2 linked regions of the Caenorhabditis elegans genome follow. The protein of the gene in region 2 purifies or fractionates together with the protein of the main gene of each other region. This does not show direct contact. Each region holds a gene or a part of one and is shown on either strand. Other genes may lie near its edges.

Evidence for each region.
Region 1: the proteins of C27D6.1 (region 2) and Y37F4.1 fractionate together in Caenorhabditis elegans (co-fractionation; one large-scale study listed by BioGRID). This does not show direct contact.

Annotation. Positions count from the first base shown.
Region 1 is NC_003279.8:10,855,453-10,862,909, forward strand, and holds Y37F4.1 (BAR domain-containing protein), read left to right. Parts: upstream 1-2,634; 5' UTR 2,635-3,193; intron 3,194-3,356; 5' UTR 3,357-3,539; intron 3,540-4,059; 5' UTR 4,060-4,095; coding exon 4,096-4,167; intron 4,168-4,228; coding exon 4,229-4,507; intron 4,508-4,794; coding exon 4,795-4,933; intron 4,934-4,980; coding exon 4,981-5,167; intron 5,168-5,208; coding exon 5,209-5,317; 3' UTR 5,318-5,346; downstream 5,347-7,457. Other genes in the region: Y37F4.4 (Signal recognition particle-docking protein FtsY), read right to left, coding at 57-347; Y37F4.2 (Sec-independent protein translocase protein TatA), read left to right, coding at 483-540, 583-654, 2,068-2,168; Y37F4.5 (START domain-containing protein), read right to left, coding at 5,807-6,055, 6,153-6,316, 6,523-6,689, 6,740-6,860, 6,934-7,236, 7,283-7,323, 7,392-7,457.
Region 2 is NC_003280.10:5,169,955-5,179,470, reverse strand, and holds C27D6.1 (uncharacterized protein), read right to left. Parts: upstream 6,721-9,516; coding exon 6,666-6,720; intron 6,622-6,665; coding exon 6,524-6,621; intron 6,475-6,523; coding exon 6,394-6,474; intron 6,346-6,393; coding exon 5,842-6,345; intron 5,762-5,841; exon of another isoform or gene 5,679-5,761; coding exon of another isoform or gene 5,578-5,678; intron 5,531-5,577; coding exon of another isoform or gene 5,275-5,530; exon of another isoform or gene 5,254-5,274; intron 5,072-5,253; exon of another isoform or gene 5,031-5,071; intron 3,802-5,030; coding exon 3,697-3,801; intron 3,643-3,696; coding exon 3,112-3,642; intron 3,066-3,111; coding exon 2,946-3,065; intron 2,892-2,945; coding exon 2,769-2,891; intron 2,726-2,768; coding exon 2,612-2,725; intron 2,397-2,611; coding exon 2,190-2,396; 3' UTR 2,094-2,189; coding exon of another isoform or gene 2,053-2,093; 3' UTR 2,031-2,052; downstream 1-2,030. Other genes in the region: pugs-1 (uncharacterized protein), read left to right, coding at 1,479-1,668, 2,053-2,093; C27D6.3 (uncharacterized protein), read left to right, coding at 5,275-5,530, 5,578-5,678; C27D6.15 (uncharacterized protein), read right to left, coding at 6,969-7,181, 7,223-7,284, 7,327-7,456, 7,508-7,561; srb-1 (Serpentine receptor class beta-1), read left to right, coding at 8,439-8,666, 8,753-8,971, 9,020-9,216, 9,259-9,516.

The DNA of each region.
Region 1 (7,457 bases), on a different chromosome or scaffold from region 2:
TATAAATTTTTATAAATTTTTTAAAAAATACTTCCGTACTAGCTATTATACTTTGATTAGCATATTCTGGTATTTTTGACTATGCTGAACAGTTTTATGAAATAAAAAAGAGTAGCTGATGGTGGAACGAGTTGAGCAGTTTCTGGAACCAGGACAGGCTGTTGAACATCTGGAACTGTTGGAGCTGGAGCCGGAACTTCTGGCTGTTGCTCGATTTGAGCTGGTGTTGCAGCAGGAGCCGGAACAGTTGGTTGTTGCTCATCAGCGTTGGGATGAACTTCTTTTCTTAGTTTTTGTCCTAGTAGAACGAGTGCTTCTAGTACTTCATGTGCTTTTTGGAGCATCATTTTCATTATTTTGCAAGTAAAAATCGGTTAAATTTTCCTTTTTAATCCTTGAATTTTTATTCAGGAAATGGTTGTCATGGAAACAGATAAGCTTATATATTCATCACATTAAATTCAACTTTTAAATAGAAAATAATGCTTTTTATAGGTATTCATAGTCTACTTTTTCGCGAGAACTGGAGCAAAGTTGGTGGTGGGTTTTACTTTTTCTTAATTCAGAAAAAAAAATTTTCAGGTGTCGAATATGAGGGAAATCTGAAAATAAAAGTGGAAGTTGTTGGAAACAAAGCGAAATTATCGGAAAATGGTGAATTTTTGTATAAATTTTTAAATACTTTGTATAATAAAATGTGAATTTTTGGTACCGATGATTCAGATTCCGGGCAGATGAATTTTTAGCAGCTTCAGTATTGGGTTTTTGAGATTTGAGATGTTTCTGCCTTCTTCCTATATTATACTGTAGGAGTACTGTATGTGATAAACGGTAGGGTACTGTAGGTGGTAAACGGTAGGTGTACTGTAATTTTTTGTTCAAAAACTTTTTTTTTCCCTCTCATAACTTTGCCGTCGTTTGAGCTATTCTGATTCTGAGCCAAATATATGAAACCTTGAAGATTTCTTAAGCGAGAGACGAAAAAAATTTTGAAAATCGAGTCATACATCACAGAGATAATCGACCGAATAGAAAAATAATGCCTTTTTTGATTTTTGATTTTTCAACTTTGAGCGTTTGTTAATTGGTTTGTTTAAGTTTAATTTTAATTCTGTTTTTTTTAATAGACTCAGAATTTGACGCTGAATTCAAATATGTAAGATTTTTTTCCAGCTTTAAAAATGAAAAAGTTATGAAAAAAAACTAACATTTCATCTCCTCATCAAAGTTTTCGAAATATCTTTTATGTTTTTACATTTTCTTTTTAAAATTGAAAAATCTTTTCAGCATATTTCTTTCATCTTAGAGAAACTGAAAATTCAGCGCCCAGGGCGCTAAATAATTATTCAAAATTTTTAAATTAGAAACAACTCCTTAGCATATTCCATCAATCTTAGAAATAGTTCAAATCAGCGACGAAGGCGCTGAATAAGTCTTCAAAGTTTTAAATTAGAAACAACTCCTTAGTATGTTTCTTTATTTCAGAAACTTTGAAAAATTCAGCGCCGAAGGCGCTGATAACTCTTAGGAATTTTTGAATTTAGAACAACTCCTTAGAATATTTTTCTAATCTTAGAGAAGATTCAACTTAGCGCCCAAATAATTTTTAAGAATATTTCAATGTGAAACAACTCCTTAGAATATTTCTTTAATCTTAGAGGAACTGAAAACTAAAGCGCCGGAGCCGCTAAATGATTTTTCAAAATATTAAATTAGAAACAAATCTTTGGAATATATTTTGAATTTCAAGGTGAACACACTTAACCCCAACACAGGTTTGAGGCAAAGCCGAGAACCTGCGCCAGCTACCTTGTTGATACTTTAGAGCGAAATAACCCTATCCCCACTCCCGAAGGGATAGCGCACTTTGTGCGCTAGTCTTAAAAATTTTTTTTTTAATTGAAGGTTTACAAACAAATTTGAACTTTTAAAAAGCTTTGCTATGTAGGAAAAAGGATACTCAATTCAAGAAATGGTATGTAGAAAAATCGATTTAAAAAAAGTTTTTTGATTTTTGATTTTTAATTTTAAAAGTTTAGTCCCAATAATTCAATAAAGTTTTTCCAGAAATAGAGCAAATTCGAAAAATAGCTGAGCTAATGGGCAATCCAACGGAACCGGACGAAGTTTCGGATGAAAAAGACGATAGTTCTGAATCAGACTACTAGTTGCTGAAAAAATAATTTATAAGTTTATTTTAGTCACATTGTTGATAGTTATAAATATTTTTTTGAAATAAAAAAAACCAAAAATGTGTTTTTTGCACTGAAAATGTTGCGTTGGCTCAGTTGCAGGGTAAACCCATCAATTCATAACTTCAGCAAGAAGTCCAAATTGTGTTAAGTTCGAGATCCCTTTAGAAAGCAATCTTGCACTTATTTTACTTTTTCTTAAATCTACAGTTCAAATTATTAAACAAAAATATCTGAAATCAAGAAAAGTTTATCTTCACGGATGCTGAAAGTTTATAGACTTGTGGAAGTGTTCTATGATCACTTCTCATGTTGCACTGAGTGGACTTTGGAGACGTGCATAAAGCGCATGACTCTAACGCCCACGCGGCCTCTGAGCAGGGAGCGTCACGCCCTCACGAGTATATAAGCCGACTAGAGAATAACATCCTCAGTCGAGAAAGACCTTGCCTGCTGGCGCCGGACGAAAGTAAGACTCTCGTCGTCTGGCACAGCAACGACTCAATAAATGCTTTAGCACACAATCAAAGTGTTTTTGCATGATGTTTAACCATAAGCTGTGGCACCGGTTTATGACCGTTAACAGACTCCTCCAGTATATAAGGTTGTCCAAACAACTTAATTTTTCATATTTTGTGCAACACTATCTTGCTGAAATGAAAGAAACCGGCCCGTGTTGTTACATTCTGCTCATTTTAATTTTTCCGCCAATCGCCGTCTACGTGAAAGAGGAAAGATGCTCTCTGTCAGTTTGGCTCAACCTTTGTTTCTGCATCCTCTGCTGGTTTCCGGGGGTGCTTCATGCTATAGTCGTCTGTTTCTGCTTGAATTATTTATTTTATTTACTTACTATCAAGAAATGAATTCTTGAGATTAATTTATTTAGAAGAATATAATACTGAATTACAATTAAAGAGAAGAAAAGGGGAAGATAGCGGTCTACATCTAGAAAGGAAGCATTGGTATTATATAATATAATATAAAAGAAGGAACTTATATAGGTCTGTTTTTAATCGAATTATAATGATATTGGGGTTGGCGTGAATCATATGAATAGGAAAAGAAGGGAAACGTTTTGGTTTGAATCATAAGGATCAAATATCATATTCAAAGAGGGAAAGATTTGACACTTACATACAATTAGATTAATTTTTCCATGTACAGATTATCTCAGACCACAGGATATGTAGTTGCTGACTAACATTTCACTGCTAATGTGTAAGCGGCCACTGATTGAATATTGTGGGAGAATTAAAATTTGGACTCTGAATGAAATTGCTTCATAATAAAGCAAAAAGTTATCCAAATTTCTATATTTATCATGTTTTTGGATACTGTAGTTAAAAGGTATAAACGCTTTATATTATATTTTAGTTTTCAAAATACATATATAGGGAAAGCCTCATGCAAATTTGTCTAGAAAAATGATTTGAAATTGTTCAAGAAGTATGAAAATGTTAAAAAGCGTACAGTTAAACAAATTTAAGATTTTGGAATTTGTCAATCAGTAGGTTTATATTAATCTTAAAAATGATAAAATCTGCAAACCCGGATTTTAAAATAATATAATAAAAAAATAATAAAAATTTTAAATAATATAATACATAAAACTATAGAACAATTTCCAGAGAACTGTTTAGATTTTTTGTTGAATAGAAAGTTTCCACAGAAAATTTCAAAAACCGCCTTTGGAGCAATTTAACTGGTAAAACACGGAGCTAATAGTAAGCAAAAATTTCAAATTTTTTCACAAAATTTCAATCACAAATATTTTCTAAAAAATGTTAAAAATAAAACAAAAAATTACTAATTTAAATTGCTTTGTTACGTGACACATTTTATGATGACAAACATACTTGTTTATCAGACATGAAATCTCAATCTCAGTTATTTTATATTTTTAATGGCAAACAAGAAGAGTACGAGTAGCTGCTATGAAAAGCCAATCGCTCAGAAATTATTTTATGGATTAGCTGTAAGTTTTTGGATGCCTCCGAAACCGAAATCCGAAACCGAAAAAAAAAGAGAGTTTTCAGGACCATCCAAATCACGGTGTATTTTCGTCGATTCTGAAGAAAAAGAATCGCTTGTTTTCGATGACTGATGACGTGAAGAAGCTTTGCAATCAAGTTGAAGCTTATAAAGAAGCCGCAGATCGACTTCATCAGGCACTGATTCAAATGTTCGTTGAGAATCAGGAACTTATGAAAGCTGATACGAATTATCAGTACGCTGGGCAGTATCTAAAGACGTATCAGGCGATAAATCAGAAAGGAAGAAAGTTGGGTACGAAGGTTGACCCCAAAGAAATGGATGTGAGTTTAGTTGCAGAATTGATCAGAAAAGTGACGCGACATTCAGTTTCTAGAGCGAATCCTGTTGAAAATCGAGGAAGTTGGAACGACTTTTTTGCACCTAAGAAATTTGGTATATTTTCTAGGCTTGGATTTTTAGGCTTAACAATTTAGGCTAAGGGCTTTTAAATGTTAAAATGTAGGCTTAGGCTTTTCAAATAAACCATTTAAGCCCAGGTAATCAGGCTTAGGCTCCCCAATTTTTTGGCTTATGGAATGGCACCTGATAATAAGGACACAAATTTCAGAGCTTAGAACCGGCTATCCAAACCTTGCTCAATCTGGATTCCATACAAGCAAAGCAAGTCCAAAGGCATCTGGAAAACTTGTCGGCGTTGACAAAATTCATTGGCGTCGACTATTGGGAGTACGCAAGGCTTCGAAAGAGTAAGAATAAAAGGGTCTATAATATGAATCTAAATAAAAAATTTCAGTTTATTGGCTCTCGCTGGAAACCTACGACGACGCAATCAGTCAGCAGAATAAGGAGCGAACGGAGCAAGCCGAACTCGCGGCGGGAAATGCTCAGACATGGAGGAATGAGTGCAGACAGAAGGTTATTGACTTTATCAATAAGTCGATTAATGAGCAGAAGGGGAAACACGCGGATGCAGTTTTGAAGTAAGTTTTGGAACTACTCCCCGAAAAAAAAAAATTTTAAGGTTTCGTGACGATTCAATTCTCTTCCACAAATCCATTGCTGAAGCTATCCCAATATTTGATGATAGAGCACTGCCAAAGAGTAAAGAAAAGCCATTGAAATCCAAATGAAACTTGTCCGAATAAAGAATTATGTGATTTTTATTGCTTGCAACTTCAAATGTGTTATATTTGATTTTAGTCATCAGTTTACAGCCACATCAGCCACAAGGCACCCCTGATTCCACCAAAAGGTGCGCGGCGATTGCCGACGGGTAATTCTACAATTTCAGGCAGAGATGTGTTTTCCCAATATTTTTCATTAAATTTTAGTGAAAAGATGTAGAAACTATGTGATCTCTCCCATAATAACGCAATTGCCGCGCAACCCGGATTCTATCCCTCTCCATCGCCTCAACATTCGCCCGCTATTTCACTTTTTTCGAATGGCATTTTGGAAACGTTTTTTGAATAGCTAAGGTTGCTATGGGGTGGCTCATCACGTCCCACACAACACCCCTAGCTTTAACAATAAATTTACGCTGAAAACAGAACAGAAATGAATCACATTTTATTCTCTCAAGTGCTATAGTCTACTTCAGTGCTTCAACCTTCTCGACATTATTTCTCCTTTTTTCCATCTTTCTTCTTATCCAATTTGTTTGACTTGCAAGCGACTGGTTCCTGCAGAGTTTCTCGAATTTCAGCCAATTTTTGTAGTCCCGCTTTGTACCAGTGTTCTCTTCTGTCATCTGGACAAGTCAATCGCGTAGATGTATAGAATTTCTGGAAAATGTCGTGATTCTCAATCCAAGATTTCATCCATGCAGTTTCCAACGCAGCGATCGGGATCATTGTGAACGTGTTTTCCTGGAAATTATAAATGAAATCCAGAACTAGGAACCGCAATAGACTTGATAGTAAAACTCCAGTAATAGGACTCATTTCAAAAAAATGTTGAACTTACATCTGCAACCAACTTCAAGCAAACATAGAGTGCAAACTCAATCTGTGCAGTCGCTACCAAATCAATTGATCTTGTTTTCTGAGTTCCCATCCAAGATCCAGCGATCGGAAGCATCGAGTCCAAATTCAGGGAGCTTCCCATGATGTGCATCAATGTGTCAATCACTGAAAAATCATTTCATAGATAGGTACTAAAAGGAAAAAAAGTTCCCGGCTTCCCTACCTCTCACCCGGAAAATTCAATAAATGAGAAATCAGTAAAGACGAGAAAAATTATATAAAGAGCAATTGGCTAATAAATCATTTTTCTAATATTTCAAGTGTTTTCAACCTTGCATCTCATTTTTCCGGAGCCGTTAAATAAAACTAACATGGTAAAATAGTCGCTCTTGTATCAACATTTCCCGCAACAATTCCTACATTAGCATACTCGTTATCACTGGACGTTGATTCATACATCTTCGCAAACGGAACTAAATTAAATGAAACAAATCCATGTGGCATATTCTCACACTTCCAGTAGAGGAAACTATGATTACTAAAATTTGAATTAGGAATTTGTGAATATTGTTGGAAAAATGTACACACTCTTCAATCCTTCGAACTTTATACACTGATAAACCGGGAATTTTCGATTTCAATTGTTTTGACGTGTAAATCAATTGTCCACGTTCCTTCACTTCTAGCGATAGTTCAGGGCAACCTTCTTCTGAAAACAATTCAATTCAATTATTTATAAGCCTAAGTCTAAGTCTAAGCTTATAAGCCAAAACAGGACTTACCACCGCGTAAATTGGTCAACTCAATAACAACCCGACACTTCAATCGAACCATCCAATCAAATATTTTCCTCGTCTGCGTATTAGTATTCATAATACACCATTTTCTGGAATTCGGTGCTTCAATGATTGCAGAATGGCAATATTCGTCAGTTCCTTTCTCCTGTTCAGCAATAGATTTACCAATTTGTATGGCATATGCCTGCTGAATTGCCTTGGCAACATTTCGTATCTCTGCTCCATAATCCTTGCCCTCATGCTCTTTTTTGTCGATGAGATTGTTGGTGAAATGCTGACGATTTAGTTCTGAAATTTATTAGTATTTTTTTTGATTAGGAGATCTCACACTCACTTTCCTTCTCTGGTCCATTGCTAACGTCGCAGTGTTCTCTTCTGAAAAAAAAATCGGTTGGATTTCGCTCTATTATAATCAAAATCTTAAAGCCAAAGAAGATACCCACCGTAATCCTCGGTCCAAATCAAAGTCACATCTTTGATTTCTTCTACAATTAAATACACCCTTGTTA
Region 2 (9,516 bases):
GTAAACCATTTTCTCCCTAGGGTAAACCATTTTCTCCCCCTTTCGTGTATTTTCTGTGATATTTCATTGTGTCCTCCGCCTCTCCCTCAAAAGGCCTTCAGTTTTGAATTGTTCCAGTTTTAACCGCTTTTCATCACTCATGTTACATTGAATGATTCTTGTAACATCTCCTTTTTCTGTAAATCATAGCCTGGGTATTAATTATAAGAGTAGAACATGATTTCTTCAAAAGAAAACATTTTCACTCAATTTTCCAACTGATCGGTTTCTATTAATTTCTTCTTGTTGATTTTACTCTTTCTTGGGACACTGATTCTACCTCCTTGCATAATTACCCATCTATATGCTTCCTTTTTATGTAATTTTCATGAAAATACAACCACCCACTCCATCACATTCTGCTCCCTCAAATGTTATAGATATAAATTATTGATTTTAAATTTTTTTTCTGAGGTTTCTTGTACATTCCAGAAATTTACAGAGAGCAATGTATTTCATTAAACACGACTAGAGAAATTAAACTAAAACTACGAGCTGATTATGAACAGTTAAAACCTAGGAACAGGAATGGTTATAAGTTGTCTTTTAAAAACTCGTAGCATGCAAATACGAATACCATATACCAAAAATACGGTCGCCGGTCTCGACACGACAAATGTATTGTATAATGCAAAAAGGTGTGCGCCTTTAAACAGTACTGTAGTTTCGAAATTTCGTTTCTAAGGAATTTTCATAGATTTTGCTTAGTTCTTCGCACGATTTGTCAACGTTCCTTGTTTTGTTTTAGGTTCAAAACAATTGTATCGAACAATTGTTGAAAATCGATGAAAATTTCGCAGCAACGAAATTTTGAAAGTACAGTACCCTTTAAAGGCCCAGACCTTTTTTGTTTGAAAAAAATTGTCGTATCGAGACCGGATACCGTATTTTCGATACAAAATCATATATTATACTTTTCCGAAAATCTTCAATACCGATTACAGTAATTTATTGTCTTTGTGGTGAGACCTTTGCGCGTAAGATAGTGCGAAGAGTTCCATTTTTAGACGACAATGTAATATTTATATATATTTGAAATATTTGAAAGACATTTTCAGAGTCATAATGAAAATGAATAATTCGAAAATCTCTTAAAACATTCCAGTATATTCGTATTTTAGTGATTCAGTCTGTTTGGTATCGCATATTATTTTAATCCGAATATCCCGATGATTGTGCGCAGTCCTTGTACTCTGGTCGATCCCATATATAAATTTGTGTTTTTAACGAAAAAAATGTTAACCCCTCGGCCTCCGCCCCAATGAGTAAATGACACGGATATAAAATCGAAACTAGTCGGATCATCCTCACAATATTTTGCCGACAGTATTCATGACTCTTTTCTAGTTTAAATTTTCTCTTTTTTTTCTGATTCAAATTCATTTTTCTTTGATTTAACACATTTTTTGAATGATAAATTTCAGATTATCCAACAAGAAATGCTTTTCCGATTCTTTTTATTAATTGTCGCTATCCTCACCATTGTGAATGCAGGCGAGCCAGAACATGGAGCTCCTCCACCAAATGGAACAGATATGGGAAATGATACAATGCTAGAAGCACGAGCTGGGGGACCACCAATGGATGGTATGAATGGAACTGTTGTTCAAGAGAATGGAAACAAGACTGGTAAGTATAAGGTTTTATTTTACATACCGTTTTTCTTCTATCAGTAATATGACACACTATATAACTTTGCAAGGTAATCTCGGTTCATTTCAAATATGTCATTTTAGAAATAACAGCAAAACGATAAAAAATAAATAATAGATATTTTATCAGTTGACAGTTTTTGACTAGAACAAACTGCAATTGAGATATAAGCTGTCAAAGTTAAGAGAAAATATGGTACCTCCACGTAGATGCCTGCTGCCTAAAATCGTGCCTACTGCAAAAGCTGAAAAATTTTTAAATCAAGCAGGCACGTGCGCCTAAAAATGTGCTATATGTGACTGTAAATTGCAAAATAAAGATTCAAATACATTTGTATTGATTTTAAAGTTTTATTTACAGGAGGAGTGATGGATTGGATCAAATCAAAGCTTGGAAAGTAGACAAATACAACTGAACTTCTCATTTATGCAATTACTTTTGTAATATTTAATATTGGAAGAAATGAATGTTAAGTTAAAAATTAATTGAATGCAAAATTACAAAACAGGACTCAATCCTGTTATGGAAGTTTGAGATTTGGCGCGAAAATTCTCAATCGGTGGAACTTTTTTCATGGGCGACGATTTTTCGGTTTTCGGGATGTTTCTTTTTTCCCATTTCGCAATTATCGATCGGATTCGTTCTCCTTCTTTCTTTTCTCGTTCCAGTTGACGAATTCGAGCGTCTTGTTCGTTCATTCGCTTCTGAAATTAGAGGTTTACAGTGGATTCTAGAAAAAAATGTTTTGACTAGATACAGGGAAATCCTAGAGTGTTTTAGAAACTTGGCAACTTGCCAAATAAAAAAACACAAGATCGCACCCAGTGATTTGCGGCTCATTTAAAAAAAAATCAAATCAGAGAAATACAATTTTCCTAATTGTTGTGTTTTGCAAAAGTTAAAACACTTTTTTTCATACCTTTAGATTGGTCTTCTCAATATCCGCTGCTTTCAGTGTCTCAATGGTCATTGTTGCCAAAAGATCCTTATTCAATTTATCCATTTTATCAATTGTTTTCAGAGTATGTCGCTCCTGTAAAACAATAAGTTAATATTTTTCCAAATCAAACTTCTACTTGAATAATCTTTGCTGCAGCTGCCACTGGCGAAGCTGGCTGTTTTTTGTCGGAACCGCCACCGCTTTTCCCTGATTGAAAATCTTTTCTCACACTTTGAAGTCCACGGAAAATGTTTTCAGACTGAAAATTGTAACAATTTCCAGAGATTGCTAACTGGTTTTAAGGAGAACTCACAATCAATCTATTCTCATTGACTACAACTCGATAGACAGACTCTTGAGCAATAAGTTCTTCAATTCGATCAAAAATTGCATCGAATACGCCTCCAACATTAACATTTAACAGTTGAGATACCTGGAAATTAAACAATTGAAAATATTTCTAAAAAACTAGATTTTACTTTGGAAATACAGTTTTCTAGAGATGCAATTTTATGCTCCAAATTCTTCCGTTCTAGATCACTTGCCAACAATTCTTGCTCAAGCTCCTCAATTTTCTCCATCGATTTTGAGTATTCTTCTTCTGAAACTCTTGCTCTAAAAAGAGCATTTCTTTGTTGTTTTGCCTGCTCCAAGAGAACTCCTTCAGCATTTGATGCTGCCTTTTCAGCCTCAAATCGTTTTGTCTGTTCAGTATCTCGTTCACGGACAAGATCTCGGATAGTTCTTTTCACATTATTTTCGGTTGCCTCTTCTTCGGAATTCAACAAAACTGTGAGAGTTTCCAATAGACTTTTTCGCTCGGTTTCAGCAGATTTCAAAAGAATTATATTATTTTTATTAGATTGAGACATTTCCTGAGAATAGGAACGAAGGCAGCGAATTTCAGCTTTAAGCATTTCAAGTTCCATTTTCTGCTCGTTTATTAAAGAGTTTAGTAGAGTGACATCATGGTTTATACGATTTTCATGGTCTTGGCGGATTGCTATTTCCTAGAAAAATTAAAATTTAGTTATAGAAATAATTACTTAAGTTGAGCAACTTACTTTTTTGCAGATTCCTTGAATTTCTCTACTCTGCTCTTTGTTAATTTCCAAGTGATCCATCAAGGTGGAAACATGGTTCTGATTAACAGTCAATGAAGATGATAACTGAAAATATTTAATTGATGGATCACATATCTGGAATTTCGTAATTTTTCAGATGTTCACACAATAATTTCTCACTACAGAAACGTAGCGGATCTCGAAAAAACAAATCTCGAAAAATGTTTTTTTTTTGTGATGGGACAACCTGGCATCATCTGTCCTCCACTAGCAGGCTTGTGCAACTGATGAGGAGCACTGAAAGAGGTGAAGCGGGCTTATATTCTCCAAATACCGAATACTCAAGCAAGGAAAACTCGAGGAGGCATCGCAAGAAACATTTTTACTTTCGACTTAGCTTATTGCCACTTGGCAGAAAGCATAAAAATAAATGTTCTAAACTCTCCACAATCTGGATTCTGGAAGCTATTGAAAATATGATTGAGGGTCTAATATATGATTGATAAGCCGGAAGTACGTTGAAAATTATTGGGAAAATATTGCAAATTCAGGCACCGGACGTCCGACTTTGTCCGGTCCTATCCTAATGATTCCCAAAAAGTAAAATTCTTAAGTTGTAACTTAAGTTGTTAAGACAATTTTTCAAATAGTTTATTGAATGCATTTTCAAAAGGATTCATTATTTTATTCTGTTCAGCAAAAGGTTCAAGAAGTATTGGGATGGTGACAGTTCCAGCCGGCTGAACAGCTGCGAAGGCGGCTTGTGCATTGGCAAAGTGAATGACAAGCTTGTCCTCTTTTAGAGCACCAGATTTGCTCATGAATATGAGCTTGTCAGCTCCACCATTGACGAGCTTGTGGGTTGATGTACCTCCGGCGGCAGGCACTGTGCATGCTGGTGGATTGGTAGTCTTTGAACACCGTATCACATCCGGTGTTCGGTTTCATTGATCCATCTGGAACCACGGATGTCGTCATCACTTGTACTGCTGGTGCTCCAAAAGATGACAAGCTTGTCATTCACTTTCCCATATCTCCAGCCAATGCCACTGATGCTCAAGCCGAGACATGTTGTCGCTACGGTGGAAGGTGCTTCTAGGAAGACTGATTGAATTTGCAAGATTTCAAAGAATATATACCCTGATCTTATAAAAATTTAAAATTCACGAATATATTATTTTAATAAAAATTGAAAAATATTAATTTCTTCAAAGTCAGAAAAGGTCAATTTTAAAACGTGGAAACACTTATAATCGTAACCTTGTTTTTTTTTGAATTATTTTGTTCACAAATCATACAATAAAAAAAAATCAAACATAATTTATTCCTTAACAACAGTTTCGTTGGGAACTGGTTTCTCTGAGAAGCCTATAAGGTGAGTTATTTATTTCAATTATGGCGTCTTTGGAGTAAAGGCATGGAGGAAAGTCGCCTGCCGTGCCTTTTGCCTATTGCTTCCTGTCGTTTCGCGGGTTGCGCTGTCACTGTGCAATGGCGGCCGGCTTTGATGCTAACTCGTGCTCCGAAGTAAAGAAAAACTAATCCTTGTATTTTCAGAGAAACAAAAAACATTGAGAAATGGCGGACGACAATGTTTCATTCACGGATCAAGGGACTGCTGTCGGAGATGAGAAGAAGAAAGGAGGATCTTCTGCAATGCTTGACATGCTCGGACAGTTGGAAAAGAAGGAGACAAAGAAGAAAGGAAAGAAGAACAAGAAGAGCAAGAAGAAGGCGAAGAAGGGAAAGACCAAGAAGGTTCGAAAAGCAGACAAGTACGAGTCTCAAAACTTTCTGTTTCGAGTGGAAGGAGCCATGTTCTGTGCGGGAATTAGTTAGTTTTCAAGAAAAAGTTAAAAATTTATCAATTCAAACTTTCAGTCGTTGCTATGATTATGCTGTTCGTCATCATTATCTACGGAATAATCACTTCAAGTCAAACTGGAGGACAGTTCAACAGATACATGGCCCCACTATTCTGATTGGATCAGGACAGAGAAATGGCGCAAGAGACAAGTCGGCTTACTTTTTTGGTGCACATTTTAAGCACAATAAATTCATTTATAAAGCCCGGTGTTTTATTTATTTATTGCTATTATTGAGTAAATACTCAATCAGAGAAAATATTTAATTATTTCAACTAACCTGTTGCAATTTCTCTTTTAAAATCTCATTTTCCTGCTTCAAACTTATGCATTTCTCTTGATACTTCACAATTTCTTGCTCCAAAACGTCCATGTTGAATTGACTTAGACTTCCATCTTGTTCTTCATCCGGGTTTTGGAAGTATTCTTCATCCAAATTGAGAGTTGAGACAACCTTTTGATGAAACGTTTTTTGTGAATTCTCAATTTCTTCTAGCTTTTTCTGAACTTCATTCAGTTCTTCAACGAGTTGTTTATTTTGAATTTCCATTTCCTGACTTTTAACCTGCCATTCTTCTTTTGCTTGCACAGTTTCTGCCAGTTCAAGTTCTAATTCTGGGAGCCGTTTCGAGTTTCGTGTCGCCCGATCTTTCCATTTTTCAGCTTCAGCTTCAATCTCTTTCCGAGCTTTTTCATTCGCCTTGAGCCGTCGTTCCAAACTTTCCAACTTCACTTTTGTTTGTCGCTCTGAGCGGTTTTCACGGATGGTATAGGTAGCGGCTACCTGAAAAACTTTATGGAATACGTGTAAAACCGTTGTAAATGTGCTCACTGAATCAGGTGACCGAAGATCCTCACGCGACATAGAAGCATCACCCGCTCGTTTATATGGTGAAGTTCGAGGACGTAGAGTCTGTAACGAAAATTTAAAAAATTGCAGAAACCCTATCTTTTTCACTCACTGTTGTTATTTTATTGCCACGAATGTTCAATGTAGATGTGACCAGAGCTTCTGATGATAAATCTAATTGATGGATTGATTCCGAAGCGGGATTTGATCCTAAATATGGTTAAAATGATACAATTTCCCAACTTCTGAATTACCAATTTCTTCATGATCTTCTTCGACAGCATTAACAGCAGCTTTAACCTCTTCCATAATTCAAAGTAGTGTTTTATTCCTAAACTTAAAGACAAGTAGTTGGAGAATATGAAATTAAGTTTAAAAGATGTCGAGGACACCTCACAATTTGCCTGTGCAATGAGCCAGCTGGTAATTGGGTGCGAACGAGAGGAAACTGGTGAAATGAAGGAGAATTTGCATAAGTAAGTGAACAGGAAGTGGGGTTTGTAGAATATTAACTTTATAAAGTTGTTGAAACTTGACAATTAGGGTTCATGTGAAAATTATATAGATTTAAATCCTGTAAATACAAATCCAGTCGAACTGTTTGTGCTCTGGAAATTAAATATGTGAAGTTCCAAGGAAAATATGTTTACTTTTTCAATAAAAATTTCTTTTTCCATTTTAAATAGCACATTATTGATCTTATAGCTGATTGTAATCAATGATTGAATCTTTCCATTTGGTGTAGATGTTGGCTCGAAAATTGTGAATATCTAAAAAAGAATCAAATCTGGAATGTCCAAAAAGCACTCACCTTGAAGCTGGTTTTAAACTCATTATCACCCATTAAAGCAAAAACATTGTTCGGTGACAGAACTAAAAACATGAATCATTATTTATGAATCAATAAACTATAACTTTTAAAATACATTTTGGTTGAAAAATGGTGTCCAATATCACTTGCTTCTGTTCGAAAAGCTGACGAAATTGGTAAACCCGCATGTTGGTCAAGTATTCTGCGAGAGTTTGAAGTTGTAGATTCACAATTCTGAAAATTTTGAAACTACTGAAAAGTTAATTTCCTCAAATTTAAGCTCACTGAAACCGATTCACTCTCGTTAACTTGTTTTCTGAATTTGCTAGGGGAAAACATGTTTGAATAAAAATATAAGTGAAGATGAACCTTCTAATATTCAACATTACTCTTATTTTTAAATGTTAAATGGCAGCGAAAACGATGTATGTGATAGCTATAGCTATTTTATTGTTCCAACGGTTCAATAAAATATTCCGTAAAAAACTGTGGACAATGGGTATAAAAACTATTATTCTAATACAAAAAAATCTCACGACATTTCAGGAAAAAATTTGAATTGAATTTTTCGGATTTTTCATATATGAAATAATGCCTGAGTATCCCGCCTAATTTTTATAGTTTCAGACATTAAAAAAATGAAAAACTACTATTGTAATTGGCTTTAGCATATCAAAAGCGCACATTGCGAAATAACTGAGCTGAGAGATTTCACCCTTTTTTGCTTATTTTTTATCATGATATAAATACATGCTGAATCCGACTTCAATATTGTTTTTTTCATAAGAATTCCGAAGAAAGATCTCCCACAATCAAGGTTTTCAATTGGGATGTCTGTAAAATTACATTTTTTATTGCAGCAGTTTTTTACAGTGTTTATTATTTACCAAGAACTCATATTGTTCTTTTTCAATTTGCAATGAATGACAGAAATCACTAAATTAAGATATGACATGAACGTGAGCTGCAGCTCCCAGACTTGAAAAAATCTTCTAGCTCAATATCAACAGCTGACTTTGATTTATTGAGATTTCCTAAAATAAATAGTATGAATTTTTGGAAATAGAATTTATACTTATTCCCGTACAATACGTTTTGATTAATTTGCTCTAAATCGGAAGTTGGCAAACATTTTTGGTTTAAAAACAGCTCAAAGCAAAGCATTTGTATATTTATTGTTGCTATTGTTGTTCTTCGTTTCATTGAAAAATTGAAAATGAATATCGAAAACAAATGTGATTTGGCCTTCGAAGTCACCTATCATCCATTATATCGGGCTGCTCAATTCTGGACTTTTATTTTTTCAACTCTAGCAGTTCCTGCACTTTTTATTTTTCTATTGAAGCAAATTTTTCCACTTCCATTTCATGGGAATATAAAATTTATGTTAATTTCTTATTTTTTGTCCGCTTTTTTGTTCGCAGTTGTTCTGGCTCTAACGTTTGTAAGTTGATGATAGTTCCATAGTTTTAACAAATAAGAGGCTCAACAGTAACACAAGTTCTTGTGAAGTTTTTCTAAATTTTTCAGGGCTATCACATACTGGTTCCACTATTCATCACCTCAAAATGTGATTTAATAATTCAGCCATATTTATTTAAAGTTGGTCAATTATCCTTAACTTTGTTTATTACTCTTCAAATGATAATGCCGTTTGGATTTTCAATTGAAAGAATAATTGCGTTACGCATGGCTAAAAGTTATGAAAATGTTCGTACAGTATTAGGACCACTTTTGATTTTTGTATTGGTAAGTTACGTTTTAAATCTTACTTTTGTTATAACACAAATTTGTCAGATTGGAATTGATCTGATATTACTTTTTACGGTTTTTCGAGACGAAAGTTTTAATGATAGTTTCATTTCATTTATTCTCATTCCTGCAACTACTGCACAGACGTTTAATAGTTATTGCTGGATTCTTCTATATGCGGAACTTGGAAATTTACTTTGTAATTGCATAATTCTTCTGGTTCACAGCAAATTCAAAACAAAGTGAGTTCATTCTAAAATAGGTGTTCGAAATTTTATATTAAGATTTCTCCATCAACAACGATCTTTGTCTGTACGATATGAACTAGAAGAAATATCCCAAACTTCAAAATTCACGCTTATTGTTAGTTTCACACATATTCTATTTATTGGATGGTATCTTGGTGTAACAATTTTCATAAGAACTGTTGGGGAAACATTTTTTGGTAGTTATATCAACTACACAGTGGCCAGAGGTGTTTACATCAGTGTACCAACATATAATCTAACTATAGTTTTTGTTGGAATCAAGGCATTAAGTTT